4 linked regions of the Cricetulus griseus genome follow. The protein of the gene in region 3 interacts with the protein of the main gene of each other region in a biochemical or structural test. Links are inferred from orthologs where the notes say so. Each region holds a gene or a part of one and is shown on either strand. Other genes may lie near its edges. The genes, in order: Rps6kb1, Akt1s1, Rptor and Mapk1.

The links.
Region 1: of the proteins of Rptor (region 3) and Rps6kb1, one has a biochemical effect on the other in vitro, tested with the Homo sapiens proteins (6 studies listed by BioGRID and IntAct, with this or other methods). The link is inferred for Cricetulus griseus from reciprocal best matches to the Homo sapiens genes RPTOR and RPS6KB1.
Region 2: the proteins of Rptor (region 3) and Akt1s1 interact in a biophysical measurement, tested with the Homo sapiens proteins (2 studies listed by BioGRID and IntAct, with this or other methods). The link is inferred for Cricetulus griseus from reciprocal best matches to the Homo sapiens genes RPTOR and AKT1S1.
Region 4: of the proteins of Rptor (region 3) and Mapk1, one has a biochemical effect on the other in vitro, tested with the Homo sapiens proteins (2 studies listed by BioGRID, with this or other methods). The link is inferred for Cricetulus griseus from reciprocal best matches to the Homo sapiens genes RPTOR and MAPK1.

Annotation. Positions count from the first base shown.
Region 1 is NC_048600.1:99,765,548-99,769,799, forward strand, and holds part of Rps6kb1 (ribosomal protein S6 kinase beta-1), read right to left. Parts: intron 3,205-4,252; coding exon 3,147-3,204; intron 2,958-3,146; exon of another isoform or gene 2,915-2,957; intron 2,815-2,914; exon of another isoform or gene 2,716-2,814; intron 2,553-2,715; coding exon of another isoform or gene 2,480-2,552; exon of another isoform or gene 2,306-2,479; intron 1,750-2,305; coding exon 1,649-1,749; intron 1-1,648. UniProt on the Homo sapiens protein: Serine/threonine-protein kinase that acts downstream of mTOR signaling in response to growth factors and nutrients to promote cell proliferation, cell growth and cell cycle progression.
Region 2 is NC_048599.1:153,689,712-153,694,485, reverse strand, and holds the end of Akt1s1 (proline-rich AKT1 substrate 1), read right to left. Parts: intron 3,818-4,774; coding exon 3,432-3,817; intron 2,548-3,431; coding exon 2,470-2,547; intron 2,389-2,469; coding exon 2,219-2,388; intron 1,726-2,218; coding exon 1,582-1,725; 3' UTR 906-1,581; downstream 1-905. UniProt on the Homo sapiens protein: Negative regulator of the mechanistic target of rapamycin complex 1 (mTORC1), an evolutionarily conserved central nutrient sensor that stimulates anabolic reactions and macromolecule biosynthesis to promote cellular biomass generation and growth.
Region 3 is NC_048600.1:132,141,602-132,146,371, forward strand, and holds the start of Rptor (regulatory-associated protein of mTOR), read left to right. Parts: upstream 1-1,629; 5' UTR 1,630-1,850; coding exon 1,851-2,012; intron 2,013-4,770. UniProt on the Homo sapiens protein: Component of the mechanistic target of rapamycin complex 1 (mTORC1), an evolutionarily conserved central nutrient sensor that stimulates anabolic reactions and macromolecule biosynthesis to promote cellular biomass generation and growth.
Region 4 is NC_048597.1:72,314,423-72,318,674, reverse strand, and holds part of Mapk1 (mitogen-activated protein kinase 1), read left to right. Parts: intron 1-2,560; coding exon 2,561-2,677; intron 2,678-4,252. UniProt on the Homo sapiens protein: Serine/threonine kinase which acts as an essential component of the MAP kinase signal transduction pathway. MAPK1/ERK2 and MAPK3/ERK1 are the 2 MAPKs which play an important role in the MAPK/ERK cascade.

The sequences.
Region 1 (4,252 bases), about 32 Mb from region 3:
ACTGAGAATCAGAAGTGTTGGGGCCATAGCTTGGTGGTAGCATGCACAAAGGGTTCAGCTCCCAGAACAGAAAAATAATTTTAAAGGAATACCTCAAAATCAATAACAAGGAGTTCAGAATCAGAATCTTAGAGTTTGGGATAGGAAGGTACAAATACAGACATGGTTCCCATAATGTACTTTGTCAATTTTATCATTTTTCCATTAAAAAAACAAGTTTTGTTTTTTCTTTAATTTCAAATGTATGAATGTTTTGCCTACATGTATATATATATACACTACACATGTGCCTGGTGCCAGTAAAAACCAGTTCCAGAATCCACGGACAGACATTATAAGCCACCATGTGGTTACTGGGAATTAAACCCAGATACTTTGCAAGAACAGCAAATGCTCTTAACCACTAAGCCATCTCTCTGGTCCCTCACAAACCTTTTTTTTTTTTTTTTTTTTTTTAAGATTTATTTATTTGTTATGTATACAGTGTTCTGTCTGCATGTATCCCTGCAGGCCAGAAGAGGGCACCAGATCTCATTACAGATGGTTGTGAACCACCAAGTGGTTCCTGGCAATTGAACTCAGAACCTCTGGAAGAGCAGCCAGTGCTCTTAACCTCTGAGCCATCTCTGCAGCCCTACAAACATTTTTTTTTTTAAGTACTATTTAGAACATTTATATAAGCCCCACCATTTTCTGCCTAAGTGTTTACATTGGTTAATTATCTCATGACAATTAGGGTCATTCTATCAAGAGCGAAGGATCCTTAACTGTTCACAGCTTGAAGATGCCTTCGTCTTCTAGTTTGTTCCTTGAGTAAACTGCAATCTTCCCAGTTCAGACTACAGCAGCAGAAATGGAGCTGCAAGCACATGCAGCTGCTGCCAACACTCACTTTGCAACTGTACAACATATTAGTTTCTCTGATTAACCTATGCCTATTAACAATTTTGTACTAGGGCTGTATCAAATAATCTGGTTCAATTTTAGTCTTTTTCTTCCTCAAACATTAGGTAAAACTATAAAAAAATTTGTTTTCACATGCATGGTGGTGGCATATATGTATAATCCCAACACTTGGGACATTGAAGCAGGAAGACCCTACCTAAGTTCAGTGCCAGTCAGCTATACAGCAAGACCATGTCTAAAACAAAAAAATTTTGCTTCTACTACTTATGCATTTTTTGTCTTTAAAAATCAATGGCATAAGCCAGGTGTTGGTGGCGCATGCCTTTAGACCCAGCACTCGGGAGGTAGAGGCAGGCAGATCTCTGCGAGTTCGAGGCCAGCCTGGTCTCCAGAGCGAGTGCCAGGATAGGCTCCAAAGCTACACAGAGAAACCCTGTCTCGAAAAACCAAAAAAAAAAAGCATAAATCAAAATTAACATCTGAATTGGCTTTGGTGACACAACATTTTATATAAGATTTTTTTTTCAAGTTGTAAAGAATAGCTAATATCTTTAACTCTCTTTAGGCTCAGTTATAAATACCAAATACTTTTAAGTACGAGTAAGTCTTACGATGTTACATATTCTGAGGAAGAAATATGCAACAGAGGGGGGGGGGGAGGAGGCTTGCAAAGGGCCATGACCTGTGTGGACTGACTGACAGCAGATTATTTACTATGGAACTGTTCATGGCAAAGCTCCACCTTGGTGATTGAGCATGATGTTCTCCGGCTTCAGGTCTCTGTAGATGATCCCCTTTTGATGTAAATGCCCCAAAGCCATGGAGATTTCAGCCAAGTAAAAGCTGGAAACAGAAGTGATTTAATAAAAATTTAAAAAGCAATCTATCCAAAGCAGTTTATGTATGGAATAAAATTCCTTGAAAGAAACAGACATGCACCAAAGACCAAATTAGTGGGGGTGGAAGAATGTACTGGGAAAAAAAAGATGGCACAGGATGATGCTACAATGCCGAGGGACATTTGTCACTCATTTTAGTCAAACTATACCATGTTTTATTTTTCCATTAGAACATACTGCTAAAATTGCAAATTGTCCTGTCTATTCTAACTATTATTGATTAGGTTCTGCTCTCTGTGTGTAGGAATTAGGCCAACAGTCATTCAGATCAAACAAATTCCTCCCACCCTCCCCCAACTTTAAGATTCCACAGGAAATAGGGACTTTCTTATTCTCAGAAATCAAGTCTTGATCCATATAGCCTGACCTGTGGAAGCCCACTCATCCCTTACATAATATAGCTGTGTATTTATAGACAGCAACGCCCACAGTATCTGCCCACCCTCTTGCCAGCCAGCCCACAACTATATATAAACTGTGTGACACTCAAATTTATCTACCTCAAAAGAATAAAGGGCTGAATCACCCCTGTCTGGATTCGAAAAGCACAAAGCACTGCAATACTGGCTGTGTAACAATGTTGCAATCCTGCAGATTACTCCAGGATGGAGAGGGTGTGTCCTAGAGGACTGAGGCAGTTTCACAGCCAGCAGGACCACAGCCTCCAACAGGGCTCAGAGAGCCTTCTCCAAAAAAGGGCACTTCATCCCTAAGGCTCTTAAATGCAGCTTCTGTGTTAGAAAAGGCCTGAAATTAAACAATGGAATGCAGTTTGGTAATTAAGATAGAAAAAACATTTAAGTGTTTTCTATTCAATTAATGTGTATGTCAAACTGATTTACTGTTACCCAATACGGTCACTTCACAAAAGGATGTGTATATTTTTAATTTGAAGTAGATGCCATCTTACGAATAGGAGGGCAGATCCCATCCTGGCTATAAAATCAATCCACAGATGTGTATTCAGGTTTATCACCTCCCTAAGACTGCACCTTGGGAACTGGAAAGTCTAAAAAAAAGAGGAGATGATTTCTGATACTTTCCATTGCTCCACATACAAGATTTCACTGGAAAACCACACTCACCCACAACCAAGACAAGCAGCTTACCAATTCAAGGAAATTCTGCAGTGAAGAGCGGTCCACCCAAGGCCTGGGGGCAAAGGAATCACGTGACCTCCAATAGCTGCCCAGTCCCAAAGTTCCCCCTTGACTTCTGAGTGACTGACTGGCTCCAGATCAACTTATTGAATAGTGTGGCTGCCCACAGTGGGAATGTAGTTTTGCTTTTAATTATATGAAACATTACCTGAATCCATACAACCACAAAAATTTTACTTACCAAGCTGTGTCTTCCATGAATATTCCCTCTCTTTCTAACTGCATAAATAGTTCTCCTCCTATAAAGGAAAAGTATTAGTAATAAATATCTTTACTTCAACCCTCTTCTAATGAGTTTGTACTTTCTTCTACATATAAGATTAACTCCTTAAAAACTGGCTTGTAATTCCAGTTTTTATACATGCAAACTTCAAAATACATACAGATTTCAGACCTAAGGTTTAAAAGTCTTGACTGAAGTCTTTCTAGCACCTTTTGGATATGTAAAAAAAAAAAAAAAAAAAAGTACATAATTAATTCACCCAAATTTTAGTGAATGTAACTGTTCCCCATTATCAGAACCTTTATATAAACTGAATGAACCTGACAGTGGCATAATTTGAGTATCAAAGTAAATTATAATAAAGGTTTATACTGTCCTGAGTTATCTTAAAATCCAGGAACCTATAATGATAAAAATAAATGAACAGATAAAGTTTTCAATGGAGAAAGAAAAGCTCTGTATAAGTAAAAGTGGCATGATGGAGTAAGAAAAATCACTTGGCAAACACCACATTAACTGTTGCAGTCAAGAATCAATGGATGCCAAAACTGGACCTGAAAAGCCTGATGAGATGAGATACTCAAGTAATCCCAAAGCATCTCCTCAGGAGATGCTTATTAATTCCAGAGGGGAAACCTGACAGACACCACCTTACACATGTGACCACAACAAACATCAACAGCAGTGGGACAAAGATCTCAATACCATGTACCTCCTGTTCTGAACTGCTAAGAAGGAATACAATGTCGCTTGGACAGTCCCATCAAAAATGCATAACCTGAATCTACTCCCAAAGAAATATCAAATAAACCCAAATTGAAGGCATTCTATAGAAACTGGGATATATTCTTTTTAAAAATGTCAGCATAATGACAGAGAGATTTAAGAACTGCTCCAAAGTAAAGAAAACTAAAAGACATTATATTAATATTAATTTCCAAATTATTTTATAATTCTAGTTACATAAGAAAATGTCCTTGAGTTTAGGAAGTAAATGCTAGCATTTGAGTTGTAAAAATCTTTGAATAGCATAAAAAAATGTTGACTGCATACGTGTGCCTACG
Region 2 (4,774 bases), on a different chromosome or scaffold from region 3:
TTTTTTTTTGGGGGGGATAAGGTGTTTCTCTGTGTAGCCCTGGTATCCTGGAACTTGCTTGGCAGACCAGGCTGACCTCAAAACACTTCCGCCTGCTTCTGCCTCCCAAGTGCTGGGATTAAAAGTGTGTGCTACTATGCCTGGCTTTGGTTTGTTCTTTGAGGCAGAATTGATGTTAACTCCTGTGACTACTAAACCCATCTCCCTGTTGCTTGAATGGCAGATGTGCGCCACGGGGCTGGCCTTCACTCCTCTGAGACAGCAAAGGAAACCAGCATTTGTCCCTAGCATTGGAAGCCTGTGGCCCCTTCACACTCTTCCTTTGTTCGATGATGCTGGGTTCTCTGCTGTAAAACGGAATGATCACTCCCACCTCGTGGGGCAAATACACTAAAGCTGAGCATGACGGGGTAGATGGGAAATACTGCCCAAAGATTAAGGATGCAGTACAGGCCACAAAGTGAAACTGTCTCAAAAGGAAAAATAAGAGGCTGGAGGGATAGCTCAGAGGTTAAGAGCACTGGCTGCTCTTCCAGAGGTCCTGAGTTCAATTCCCAGCAACCACATGGTGGCTCACAACCATCTGTAATGTAGTCTGGTGCCCTCTCTGGCCTGCAGGGATACATGCAGGCAGAACAGTGTATACATAATAAAAAAAAAAAAAAAAAGGAAAAATAAAAGGGAGGCGACCCATATGACTAGTTTGAAGGTGACAAACAGCCCACCCTCACCCCTGCCCTTCGAACAGTGGGAGATGGAGGTTCCCAGCCTGGCTTTCCACCCACTTCCACCATCATGCTTCTGAAAACCAGATTTTTCACCTGTCACAGAATGCTGTCTCAAACCCCGAACTTTTTATTTGCAGGAGAGCCTCAGAGTAACACTCACACAGTAAATACCACACACTCACTAGAGTTGAACTTTAATCTCAGAGCGCCCCTCCCGACTCCTGGCCCCCACCCTACTCTCCCGCACCCAGGGCCAGGGCCGGAGAGTGGGGCCCCCTCCCATGGGTGGGAGAGGGCCCTTTAAGGCACCTGTTTGGGTCGTGGGGGAGAGGGGGTCGGGGGCAGGAAGCTGGTACCGTCCTGGGTGCAGGACAGACTTTGATGGACAGGCAGTAGTTGGGTGGAACCTATGGGGGCGTCAGACGCAAAAAAGCAGGCCCCGACTATCCCCGTGGGGAACCGGATACAAGTGTCAGGCAAAAACAAAAACAAAACCCAGCCCTAGTAGTGTAACAAACTCAAGGCCTCTGACCAGTTCTGGGTTCCGGAGGGCTTGGCCACACCCCCAGGAGGCCAGGGCCAATGGGATGGGGAGTTCAAGAAGGGCGGCCTGCGACTCTCCGGACTTGGGCGGAGCCACCACCTGGTCCCGCCGCTGGGCTCCGCTCTTGGGCAGGAGCCCAGGATATGCGGGTAAAGCTTCTGTTGCTAGGCAAGAAACGGAGTTGGAGTTGACCCACTGAGCGTTTTAGAACTAGCCCTACTCCAAACCGGAGCGAGCCAATCCCGTAAAGAATTGTCTTGTTGCTGGGCAGAGCAAGGCTCGAAAACCCAATGGCCTTTCTCCGGCCGCTCAGTATTTCCGCTTCAGCTTCTGGAAATCGCTGGTGTTGAGCCGCGGCCGCGGCAGGTCTCCGAAGACCTGGGTGTCCTCGGCCTCCCGCAGCACCAATGCCCGCATGCTAGCGGCGATTCGGTCCAGGTCGGGCGAAGAGGGCTGCGAAGGGAGGAAACGCTCAGTGGCGCAGGGCAGCGGGCAGGGCAGGTGCCGCCTCCCAGCCTCCCAGAAACCCTCTTGCCCGGATTGTCCCACAGGCTATGGGCTTGAACCCCGCGGGGCGTCATACGGGGAGGGACCTGGTCCTGGGAGGCTGGAGGAAGTTATGTGTTCCCCTCAGTGTCTTGTTTTCCCCTCTGCCTCAGGGAGTTTTCTGTGAAGGAAGGATCAGGCCAGCACAGCCTGAGAGGGCCACACACACGGAATGGTGTTGGGAGAAAGGAATCTTGGGAGCTAATCTGACCCTGAGCCTGTTTGCCTATCTGACCCCCCCCCCCAAAAAAAAAAAACTATTTTGGACAGACAAGGGGCCTTCTTCCTAAAGCACAGTGGGGTCTTGGGATTGAGAAGAGAGCCACATTAGCCAAGGCAGGGGGCTCCCTGCAGCAGGCCACTCTGGCCCATCCCACCTGTCTCGCCCCCCCCCCCTCACCGGGCCGTTTTCCTCATCTGACGATCGCGCTTCTGTCCTCTTCTCCTTGAAGGCCCACACTGGCACTGACACTGGTAGAGACTTAGCGTACTGCTGGGTGGGCAGGGCTGAGGCTGGCGGCTTGGGGCACGCTGGGGGACCGGCGGGGGTCTCCTCACTCAAGCTGCCGTCTGTGATACAGGGAGGCTTCAGCTTCTGTCCCTCTACCCCTGGCCTGGCCTCCTAAGGCTTGGACAACCCAGGATCCTCACCATCTGTGCTCTCCGGGTCTGACTCGCAGAAGGGGGGCAGGTCCTGCAGAGTGGCATCCTCATCCATCATGAAGAGTCCTGTGGGTGGGACAGGCCTCAACATTCTTCATTTGCTGTCTGGTTACTCAGGCCCCTTCCATATCAGGAGCCCACTACTATCTTCAACATGGAACTTTTTTTCTTTTTTCTTTTTTTTTTTGGTTTTTCGAGACAGGGTTTCTCTGTGTAGCTTTGGAGCCTATCCTGGCACTCGCTCTGGAGACCAGGCTGGCCTCGAACTCACAGAGATCCACCTGCCTCTGCCTCCCGAGTGCTGGGATTAAAGGCGTGCGCCACCAACGCCCGGCCTGAAACCTCTTTTAAGATCTGCTTGGGACAATGTAACCCAAAGTAGTTTTTAAAAAAAGAAAAAAAAAAAAAAAGGTGGTCTGGTAGGGAGAAATGAAAGACTCTTTGGCCATACCACTGGCTCCAGAGCCCATACTCTTCATGACATACTGGCTTTCTCAGGAAGGATGAGGTGACCAGCAGTAAGCATTGATAGCAAATAAGTAATTCCTATACCCTCAAAGCCCTGCGGTTACAATACAGTCTCTAAATCCAGCTGCCCAATGTGGATTCCATGGGGCATGGGAGATGCCTGAGCCCAACATCACGTAAAGAAAGGGTGCCTGGAACCTCCTGGCTTCCTCTGCTGTCGCAGTACCCCCCCCCCCTGCAAACTTCTCCACCCTTCACGAATGGGCCAGCAGCCGCTACGCTTTCTTTCCAGAGACACCTGCATCTCTCAGAGAACCATGCTCTAGTTCCTTGGCCAGACCAGAAGCCCTCAAGGAAGCCGTTTGTTCAACATATCGTGTTATGTGCTGTTGGACCTTGTGTGTGGCTGCTAGGGAGTACTGTCATAAGGATGCATTAGGACAACCAGCAACCCCATCCCAGCACCAACCCCACCAGCTCACCTCCATTATCACTACCGCCCAGCCGCTCCCCAGAGGTCTCTGTCTCAGTGGGCTCGTCCTCATCTTCCTCATCATCATCCTTGGCCAGGGCTGGTTGATGTGGAGGGCTAGAAGCAGGGCTGGGCGGCTGTGGTGCTGGTGGGGGGCCAGGCCGGGTGGCAGTAGCAGCCCTGTGTGCCTGTGCGATGTCGTGGAGGCAGCGGCGGGCGGCCTCTGCCAGGGCCCCGCGGCCATGGGCGGCATAGGCACAGGGCCCTGGGCGAGGTGGCGGCGGTGGCGCTGCAGTCAGCAACACCAGCTCTGTGCCAGTACGGGCCCGGAAGCGCTCGGCGGCCCCCACGACCGCATCCCACAGTTCCTCCGGCCGCCCAGACGCCATCCGCGCCCTGTGGGCCAGAGCAGGACAGAGGGGCTGAGGCGGCGCTGCTGCTACTGTCGCTACCAACCATGAGGGTTGACTGCCCCAATGTAACTCCCCTCCCACAGCATGCATGCGCCCCAGCTGAGCTCCACCCCTTTCCCAAGTAGGCTTCCTCTGGGACCTATATTAGCCACCATCAAGTCCAGCCCTAGGTTTCATCTTGGCCCCATCCTGTTCCAAACAGGAGCCAAAGTCTTGAGTCTTCATCTTTGTTGGTCATGGGCACTGTAGCCAAGCTAGTTTATGGTTATTTCAGTTTGGGTTCTTCCTATTTTTTCAGACAGGGTCTGAAATTGGTGGTTGGCCACAAATTCACTACGTGGACAAAGGTGACTTTGAAGTCCTGATTCTCATGTATCCAATGCCTGAGTGCTGGGGTTACACATGCACACCACACACCTGGTTTATGTGGTGCTGAGAACTAAACCCAGAACTTCATGAGTGCTGGCAAGCACCAACTAAGCTGCATCAAAGCCTGTGTACTTTTTAAGACAGGGCTGGCAGGTAGCCTTAGCAATCCTCCCTCCTCTGCTACCCAAGTAGCTGGAATTAAAGGTGTGAAGTACCACACAGCCAGCCTGATCAAAGTCTTTGAAGACTCACATGAATATCATGTGCACCTTTTTCCATGGCATGTAGGATGTTAATACACATTTGAGCCAGGCATGGTGGCATACACCTGAAATCCCAACACTCAGAGGCTGAGGCAAGACTGTCATGGCTTTGAGGTCAGCCTCAGACACAGACTGGTCTCAATGAAAACCACAGGTGACTTTGATGGTTTCTGTAGCACAACACGCAGGCCACTGCCAGGCCACCATCTTTCACTTGGTCCAGCAGGCCTCTTTCAGTGCAGTGGAACCCTGCCCTCTAGAGTTTTTAGGATCAGATGTATCCCACACTCAGCTCATTGGCCTTCAGG
Region 3 (4,770 bases):
TAAGCGTATTCACAAGCTTATTTTATCCTTTCAGTAATATTCTTTAATCTTACCATCCAAACTTTACAGTCCAGAAACCTAAGACTGAGGTCACACAGCTTGAAACTGGTAACACTGACTCTAATAGAGGCTCCTCCAATGCCAAAGCCCAAGGCAGAGATGAGATGGGCGCCTTTGCCTGCCTGAACTGTAGCTAAAGGTTAAGAGTGTCTCAGTAAGCACCCTGGTTCTGCAAGGCTGACACCACATGTCATGTTTAATTTATATTCCCGTTGCACCATCATAGTTCTCAGGATATGTCAATAACAGATTTACTGAATTGGAAGAGAGCAGGTACTGCACGAGGCTTGCTTCAGTGAGCAGACAGCGGGAGCTTTAGTCATTTGTACACGAAGCTGTAGCAAGATAAGTATAAACTGCCCAGACAAAAGATAGATGAGACAAAAATTCATAATCAAAACTGGTGGTGGTGGCGCTCACCTTTAATCCCGATAGATAGGAGGAGCTCTGCGAGTTTGAGGTCAGCCTGGTCTACAGGGTGAGTTCCAGGACAGCCAGGACTGTGCTGCCACCACTGCGCCATCTTTCTCCTTTTAAAAATGGAAATATTAAAAAGAAAGTCCCACCGGACAGTGGTGGCACACGCCTTTAATGCCAGCACTCCGCAGGCAGAGGCAGGTGGATCTCTGCTCTGTGAGTTCGAGGCTAGCCTGGTCTCCAGAGCGATTCCCAGGACAGCCAGGGCTACACAGAGAGAAACCCTGTCTTGAAAAAACAAAAACCAAACCAAACAAAAAAGGACCCCAGTTTTATGTGTCTACTATCAATGGTTCTTTCTGATTTTTTTTTTTTTCTTAAACCACCTTTTAAAATCAGGACGAAACAGAGTGGCCTTTTACTTTAATATAAAGGACATGGCTGTGCTTGTAGTAGCAAAAGCTCTTAAAGATCTCCGAGCGGGCATGGCTTCAACGGCAGGATTGATTTTTGTAACACCAGTCCCGGGAGCCAACCGAGATCAGCTAAGGGGAAAGGACGTGGTAACCCCGGTAACGGAGTGGGGGGCGGGGAGGGCGGCACCCTGAGAGCTCGGCCCTCTTTCGGGTCGAGCGGCGAGAACGCTCGAAGAGGTTTGGCACATTGGACACGCCGTCGGCAGCGGTGCATGCTGGGTCCCGGGCAACATGGCGTCCTCCTTGACGTGCTGATGAGAGGAGTTTCACTGTTGCTCCAGAGCAGAGGGCAAAACTCCCCCGACCTCCTCAGCCCGCTTCTCCCGTGTGGCTCGCGGGCCCGTGTCGCGCGAGTCTCGGGCCTCGTTCCCGGGCAGGAGGGAGCCGCGAAGCCGAGGGCCGGCGCCGGCCAGGCCGCGGGGACCGGGGGCTGAGGAGCCGGCTGCGGGCGGGCGCGATGGGCCGGTCCCGCCTCAGGTTGCAGCCCCTCAGGCGAGTGCGGGACCCGCAGGGCTGAGCGCGGCGGCCTGAGCCCGAACCGCCGGAGCCCGACCCCGAGGCCTGTCCCGCGAGCGGGCGGCCTGCGGCCCCGGATCCGCCGAGAGCAGGGTCACCCCAGGCCCGAGCGCGCCGCCGAGCGGCCCGGCGCCCGGGCGCCCGCCCCGCCCGCCGCCCCCTCCGACCGACTTCCCGCCCGGAGTTGGCGATCCCGAGCGAGAGCCCCTCCTTGGAACCCCCTCCCGCGCCTCCCGCCCGCGCCCCGGCTCCGCGCACCCCGGCTCCGCGCACCCCGGCTCCCCGCCGCCGAGTCTGGCCCCTCGGCTTGGGCCCCACGAGCTGTTCAGGCTGGAGGTCCTTGAGCGCTTGCTGCCCCGGACCCCCCTCCCCCTCCCCCCGATGGAGGCGGAGATGCTGCCGTCGCCTCTGGTGGGACTCGGGGAGGACGAGGAGGCCGACGTGACAGACTGGAACCTGCCTCTGGCTTTTATGAAGAAGAGACACTGCGAGAAAATTGAAGGCTCCAAGTCTTTAGCGCAGAGCTGGAGAATGAAGGATCGGGTAAGTGGTCCCCATGGCATCCGCCTCCCGGACCTGGAAAGTTTCTCAGAGTCACAAAGTCCTGAGCAAGGACAGCTTCTTGGGGGTGGGGTGGGGGGGTGGTAGTATCTGGAAGCCACGTGCGGCATGTTAAACTAAAACCCAGCAGCTGCTCCAGACTCCGGTTTTGGTTGAACGTAGATGTACGTGGCTGGTATGGCCAAGAGGTTACTTCGTGAATTCAGATGAAGTTTTTAATTCAGGGAAAAAAAATCAAATTAAGAGCTAATTGTACCGCAGATGCTTATGTGTCTTTTAATATACTTAGTAACACTTAGAGGAAAGACAGTTTGGGAAATAAGACATGAACCCGCGCAATTAGTCTGCTTTTGTGGTCTGGTTTTTGAAATAGCCAGGACAGCTGTCTGGTGCAAAGTGCCAGGAAACAGGGTACTTGACAAGGTAGTTGCAGCGCGCTCCATCCCAGTCCTACAAACGGTTTGTTTGGAAGCGTGACTCCCCGTGTATGTGACTTCTTGCTGCTGTGTCTTCAGTGGAAGAGACTCTCCCCAGAGGTTGGAACTTGGGTTCAGGTTCTAGGCAGCTCTCATGGTGTTGGAGTGTCATGAGACAGCTTCAGCTCTGCTGAGCTCGTCTTTCCACCCTCTAATAGTCTAACAAAAGGGGGGCACTCTCAGTTTGCCTTTACTGTTTACTCCTGCCAGGCTTCTTTGATTCCTGTGAACTTTTCAGTATAAAAGAGGAAATTGCTGTTGTCACGCATCATTTGTTTATAGTTTATGTGTATTTTTACAGGAGGCGGTTGTTTTAAAAAGGTGCATGATGTCAAACACTTAACATAGTTCTAGAAGTAACCAATGTTTTGGTTATTGATTGGGTTGAATTTTAGGTTATAAAAATTCAATCAAGCTGGGCGGTGGTGGCGCAGGCCTGTAATCCCAGCACTCGGGTGGCAGAGGCAGGCAGGTCTCTGTGAGTTCGAGGCCAGCCTGGTCTACAGAGTGAGTTCCAGGACAACCTCCAAAGCAATACAGAGAAACCCTGTCTCAAAAAAACAAACAAACAAACAAACAACAAACAAACAAAAGTTCATTCAAAAGCAGTTTAGATTGGGCATGTTTGACACTCTGCAGGCTAAAGCAGGAGTGTCACAGTCAGTTCCAGGCTAGCCTGTACTACTGAGTGTAAACCTTGTGGCAAAGAAGAACAATACAGATAATAAACTGATGGTTTAGAGAGATTGCATAAAAAGCCCGTTTTATGGACATAACTAGTAACTTGGGTTACTAGTTATGACGAGATAACTAGTTATGACGAGATAATGTTTTGGTTGCAATGCATATATAAAATTTGTTTTAAAGCAACTCTTTTTTTAAATTCTAGGTGAAGTTTTCACTTAAATTTTTTTCTGTTCTTTAGAAATGTGGTTTCTGTTGCCCCCTAAACCTGCACTTAAACTGATGTGTATGTAACCTTGGCTGTCCTGGAACTCGCTCTGTAGACCAGGCTGGCCTCGAACTCACAGAGATCCACCTGCCTGTGCCTCCTGGTGCTGGGATTAAAGGCGTGTGGCCCTACCACCACCACCACCACTAGGCTGCACTTTAATGTAGGCATTACTTTTTAATTTCTTTTTTTTTTTTTATTTTTGAGGCTGGGTTTCTCGTAGTCCAGGCTGGCTTGCCATGTTGTCAGGAATGACCCTGAGTTTCTGATCCTGGGGTGGGGTGTGCACCATCATGTCAAGTTTTATTGGTGCTGGGAATCAAGCTCAAGAGTTATGTGCGTGCAGGCAAACCCCTATTGTTGTTGTTGTTGTTGTTATTATTATTATTATTATTATTATTATTATTATTATTGATTTTTCGAGACAGGGTTTCTCTGTGTAGCTTTGAGGACCAGGCTGACCTCGAACTCAGATCCACCTAACTCTGCCTCCCGAGTGCTGGGATCAAAGGTGTGCGCCACCACTGGGGGCAGAACACCTATCATTAAAGTGTGTGTGTGTTTGTTTTGCTGGGTGGTGACCTTTAATCCCAGCATCTTGGAGGCAGAGGCAGGCCAGTTTCTGTGTTTGAGACCTGCCTGGTCTACAGGGAAACCTGCCTGGGGTGGGGGTGGGGGGAATGTAAGTTCTTAGTAACTCCTGACTTGCTACTTAGAAGATCAGGGAAGAAAGTTTGCTGCCTCTGGCCTTTTCAAATTGTTCAGTGAAGAGGAAAATTGTCAGCTGACATTTTCAGTAAGTTTGTGAGACTTGGTGTCACAGGGTCTCCTGAATAGAGGCTGCAAGATTGAATGGCCACACGAGTTGGAAGGTGTTGTGAATGAACGAAACTGGGCAGGTTAGGAGAGTGTCTCATGCTTAAAGACAGATGCCACAGGTTGGCTGACTTAGTGTCTGGTGCCTTTTCTGGAAGGATGTGTTCATTGATGAGGCACTTGGGCCTCAGTGAGCTCTTTCCTGTAAGCCAGAAAGTCTGTTTATTTGAGATGGCCCTTGTGTCATGGTTGTGGCTGCTGCCTTGGTACTTGCTGCATAACCCAGGCTGGCACCAAGCTTGCAGCAGTCTTCTTGCTTTAGTCTCCTGGAATGCTAGTTATTACAGATGTGCATCACCAGGGCCAGCTTTTCTTTTTTTCTTTTTCTAAGATTTGTTTATTTGTTTATGTGTTTTTATATATGTGAGGGCTCTATCTGCATGTCTGCCTGCAGGCCAGATGAGGGCATCAGATCCCATTATAGATGGTGTGAGTC
Region 4 (4,252 bases), on a different chromosome or scaffold from region 3:
GTGGATGAAATGTGGTACATCTATACAGTGGGTTTATAGTTGACAGCATTAGGGGAAACAGTACTGATTTGTTAAAAAAAAAAATTTTTTTTGTTATTGATCTAAGGTTGCATAACCCTGTGACTGTAATATTAAAAACTATAGCATTATATACTTTAACTATGTGCATATATCTCAGTAAAGAAACTTTAAAAAGTATATGTAGATGTGTAGGAATAATTTCTTGAGTTTTCAGTTAAGTGAACATTTCTTTGTGAAGCTTTGTTAGGTATGCCAAGCCAAGAAGATGAATGTCTGCCCTTGAAAGTGGAAAACCTGAATTTGATCCCTGTATTGAACAATGAGATGACCAATTCCTAAATGTTACCTTCTGACCTCTGTACACACACCATGTCACTGACACATCTACATTTAAATATATAATAAAAATAACTAAAATTTATAGTCTTAGCTGAGCTAGAAATGTATCTCACTGGCAGAGTGCTTTGATAGCATATGACCATCAGGGTTGTAGCCTCATTGGCAAGCAAGTTGTCTTTCAAAGGAGGCTCAGGGTCATTATGAGGGTTTGTAAACCAAGTGGAGAGGCTAGAGACGACGATGCATTGTGGAGAACCTCAGGAGTTCCTCTCTCTCCCCTGCGTGAGAACCCACATGGGAAGTAGCCTGCAGGAGAGTTAGTGAAGAAGAGGGTGCTCTGCCCACTTCTTTTGACAACACAGTGACATTCTACAGAACAAGTGTGCAGCTCTTTGAGAACAAAGGTGTTGCTCTGCTGCCAGGCCTGCACAGTGAGCTGGAGAAAGATACTTGAATGGTGGCAGGGAGTCTTTCTTTGTCTGTCTTTCTCAGTTACCCTCTGGGATTACTAAACAAATAGAGGTCCAAATAACTATGTCCTGTATCTGTTAGACTTATTCTTTCTTTGTTGTCCTACTCTTATGGCCAAAGTTTAAGCCCTTGGTTTTTTGATTTCTCTTTCTCTCAGTAAACTTGTTTTATTGGGTCTCAATTCTGTGGCAGAATTTTGGTCAAATTGTTTTCATTAAAATGGACTAATTTTGAAAACTAATAAATTTTAAAATCACACACACACACACACACACACACACAATGGTCCACAAAAAACAGTGGCCGTTTGGCTGGAGAGATGGCTCAGTGGTTACGAGCACTGCCTACTCTTCCAAAATTCCTGGGTTCAATTCCCACATGGTGGCTCCCAATCATCTGTAGTGAAATCTGGTGCCCTCTTCTGACCTACAGACATACATGCAGGCAGAACACTGTATACATAATAAATAAATAAATCTTTAAAAAAAAAAATCACCGTTTCTCCTGGAGGTTTTCCGATGCATTGTTATCATTAACCAGTCTTTTACTGTTGAACTTAAGTGCCGGACCTTGATTTTCAGCTGACTTAGGACAGTGAAGCCTCCATATTGATTTGTCTTCCAAATGGCCTTCTACTGTACTGTGTTCCATCTCTTAAGCTGTCTCTTTCTTGCATTGGTTTCCTGGAGACCAGAGATTATTTTCACTTATATGTAAAATTGACCTAAGTATTTAATATACACTGGAGTCTGTAAGGCAGCTGACCCAAGTAGCATCACAGTATTAAGACAGCTAGATGGTAAGAGTCCTGGGATTCAGAATGTGAGAAACTAGGTGCCACACACAGCAATGGTGGATGACAGTGATAAAGCCAGATGACCTGAGTTTAATACCTGGAACCCACATAATAGAAGGAGAGAGTCAACTTCTTCTGAAAGTCATCCTCCTGACCACCACACACACACACATATACAATACATGAATGAACTTCAGAACAAATGGTTTATCTTCAGTACATGAAAGCTTTAAAACTATCAGGATTGGCTATGTGAAAAGTAGGGAAGTGAGAAGAATTTTTGGAAGTAAAAACAAAACATTAGTTCTAGAGTAAATGGAAAACTGGCCAGAAATAGGAGTCTGAGAAATAGGACAGGGCAGACAGATTAAGGAGCAGACCACCAGTGATTCTTCGAGCCACAATTGCATGGAGAGGTAAAGGGCTCTGGGTTTGGTGATTTTTATCCTAACAGTTTTGTTTTTAAGGTTTAATTTTATTTCTATGTTTGTTTATATGTCTGTACATCGTAGTATGTCAGTGCCCAAGGAGGCCAGAAGAGAGTGTCAGATCACTTGGAATTTATAGGCAATTGTGAGTCACTCAATGTGGATATTGGTGATTACTCGGGTCCTCTGAGAGAGAAGTCTGTGCTTTTTTCACTGTTGAAATGCACAGCTCTCCAGCCCGACTAAGATAGTTTTTCTCAAATCACCTGAGTGAGTGCTGTGCACTTAATGACTGATGGTGGTGGGATGTAAACATGGTTGTCAGGTTGTGCCTGTTTCCTTACCTCCAACATAAGGTCTGTCATCACTTGAGAATGATGAGCTTGTACTAGAAAGGTGTCTAGTGTAGTATTGGTAGCATACGCTTGTAATCTTTGGTGTTGCAATTGCCTTTTTTATTTTCATAGTGTATCTCTAAGAAGGTGTCCACATTTTTTCCCCTTAGATCTGTGACTTTGGCCTTGCCCGTGTTGCAGATCCGGATCATGATCACACAGGGTTCTTGACAGAGTACGTAGCCACACGTTGGTACAGAGCTCCAGAAATTATGTTGAATTCCAAGGTAAGAAAAAGAAACAATAGCTGTAAACCTTGGTCTCCATCCTTCAGTCTGGTATATCTGGCCAGAGCCAGAGTGCTATCTTTTTCTCAGAATTGAACTTTTGGGCCTTAGGGTTTACTATCTTGAGTCATGGTGACCATAAATGTCTGTATCCACCCTTGTCTGTAGTCCTAAGGCACTAGGTGTAGAAAAAATAGAAACCACTATGGACTCTTGAAATTACAGGGTAGACATGTTTCAAAATGAAATCCTTCCTCCTTTTCACTAGATTTTTGTGAAGAGTGTATCCTGGTCATCCAAACTCTGCCAGCAAAACCTGGTCTTTAATCCCAAAACTCAGGAGGTAGAGGCAGGCTGCACTCTGTTAGTTCAAGGTCAGTCTGGTCTCCAAAGCAAATTCTAGGACAGCCAGCGCTACACAGAGAAAAATAAAACAAAACAAAAACCCAACAATCTGGATTGTGGTAATATGTGGTACATACCTTTGATCCTGGCATTCAGGAGGTAGGGGCAAGCAGATCTTTATGATTCTGCATAGCAAGTTCTAGGGCAACTCAGGCTATGAAGAGAGAGACCTTCTCTCAAACAGCAGGAAAAGGAGCAATTGGGTGCCGGGCGAAGCAGGCAGACATAATCCCAGCACTATGGAGCAAAGGTAGGAGCGTTGCCACAAGTTTAAGGCCAGTCTGGGCTGTTATGAAGCATGAATTCTGTGTTAGAACTATAAGCCAGTTAGCAAAATTGAGGACTGCTCAGGACATTGAGCTTCCATTTGGGTTTGCTGGGTTTTTTTTTTTGTTTGTTTGTTTTGTTTTGTTTTTTCTGGTAGGCATTTTGGTTTTGTTGTTGTGTGTCTGTGTGGGTTTATGCATTGCATCCTCGGGAGCTGGAATTGCAGGCAGTGATGTGAGCTACCCACTGTGACTGTGAACAGCATATGACCTGCTCTAACCCACGCTATCTATGAGGAATGTAGCGCTGTCTTAGGACTTGACTTTTATGCCATGTCTTTAATGTGCATGCACAGAAACAGTACTAACTTGAGCATATTAGAAGGCAAGGCTATTCGTGCTGATGGTGGGTGATGCTCATGTGCAATTTCTAGGTCATTCCAGAACACTGCAGATAAGAGTAATTGGAGGGAAAATAGTTTGACTGTGAAATTTTCTTTTCATCAAACTCTCAAATGTTTCTCTTACTCTTGGTGGTAACATAACCATCTTTCCTTTTGTGTTTTAGTGTTCTCTATTATTTGTTCTCAAGTTATATTGTACTCTGAATGGGATGTAGACCTCTCCCTCCCCAGCAGCTTTGGACAGCAGCTGCTCCAAGACTGTCTTCTATATATAGTCCCTGTCCCAGACCTAGAACAGCCATTCTCCCAGGAGGCCCCAATTGCTCATAATATATCTGTGTTATTGTTTGGGTTTTTCATTGTTCCCATTACTTAGGTTGGCCCAGAGCAACAGGTATTTTAGATTACAAAAGTTTTAGAAAGAATTCTACCTAGTGTATTGTTACTGCAGGACCTACTGGCTCCTCTAGTTTCCCAAATCAGCTCACTCTTCAATTTTA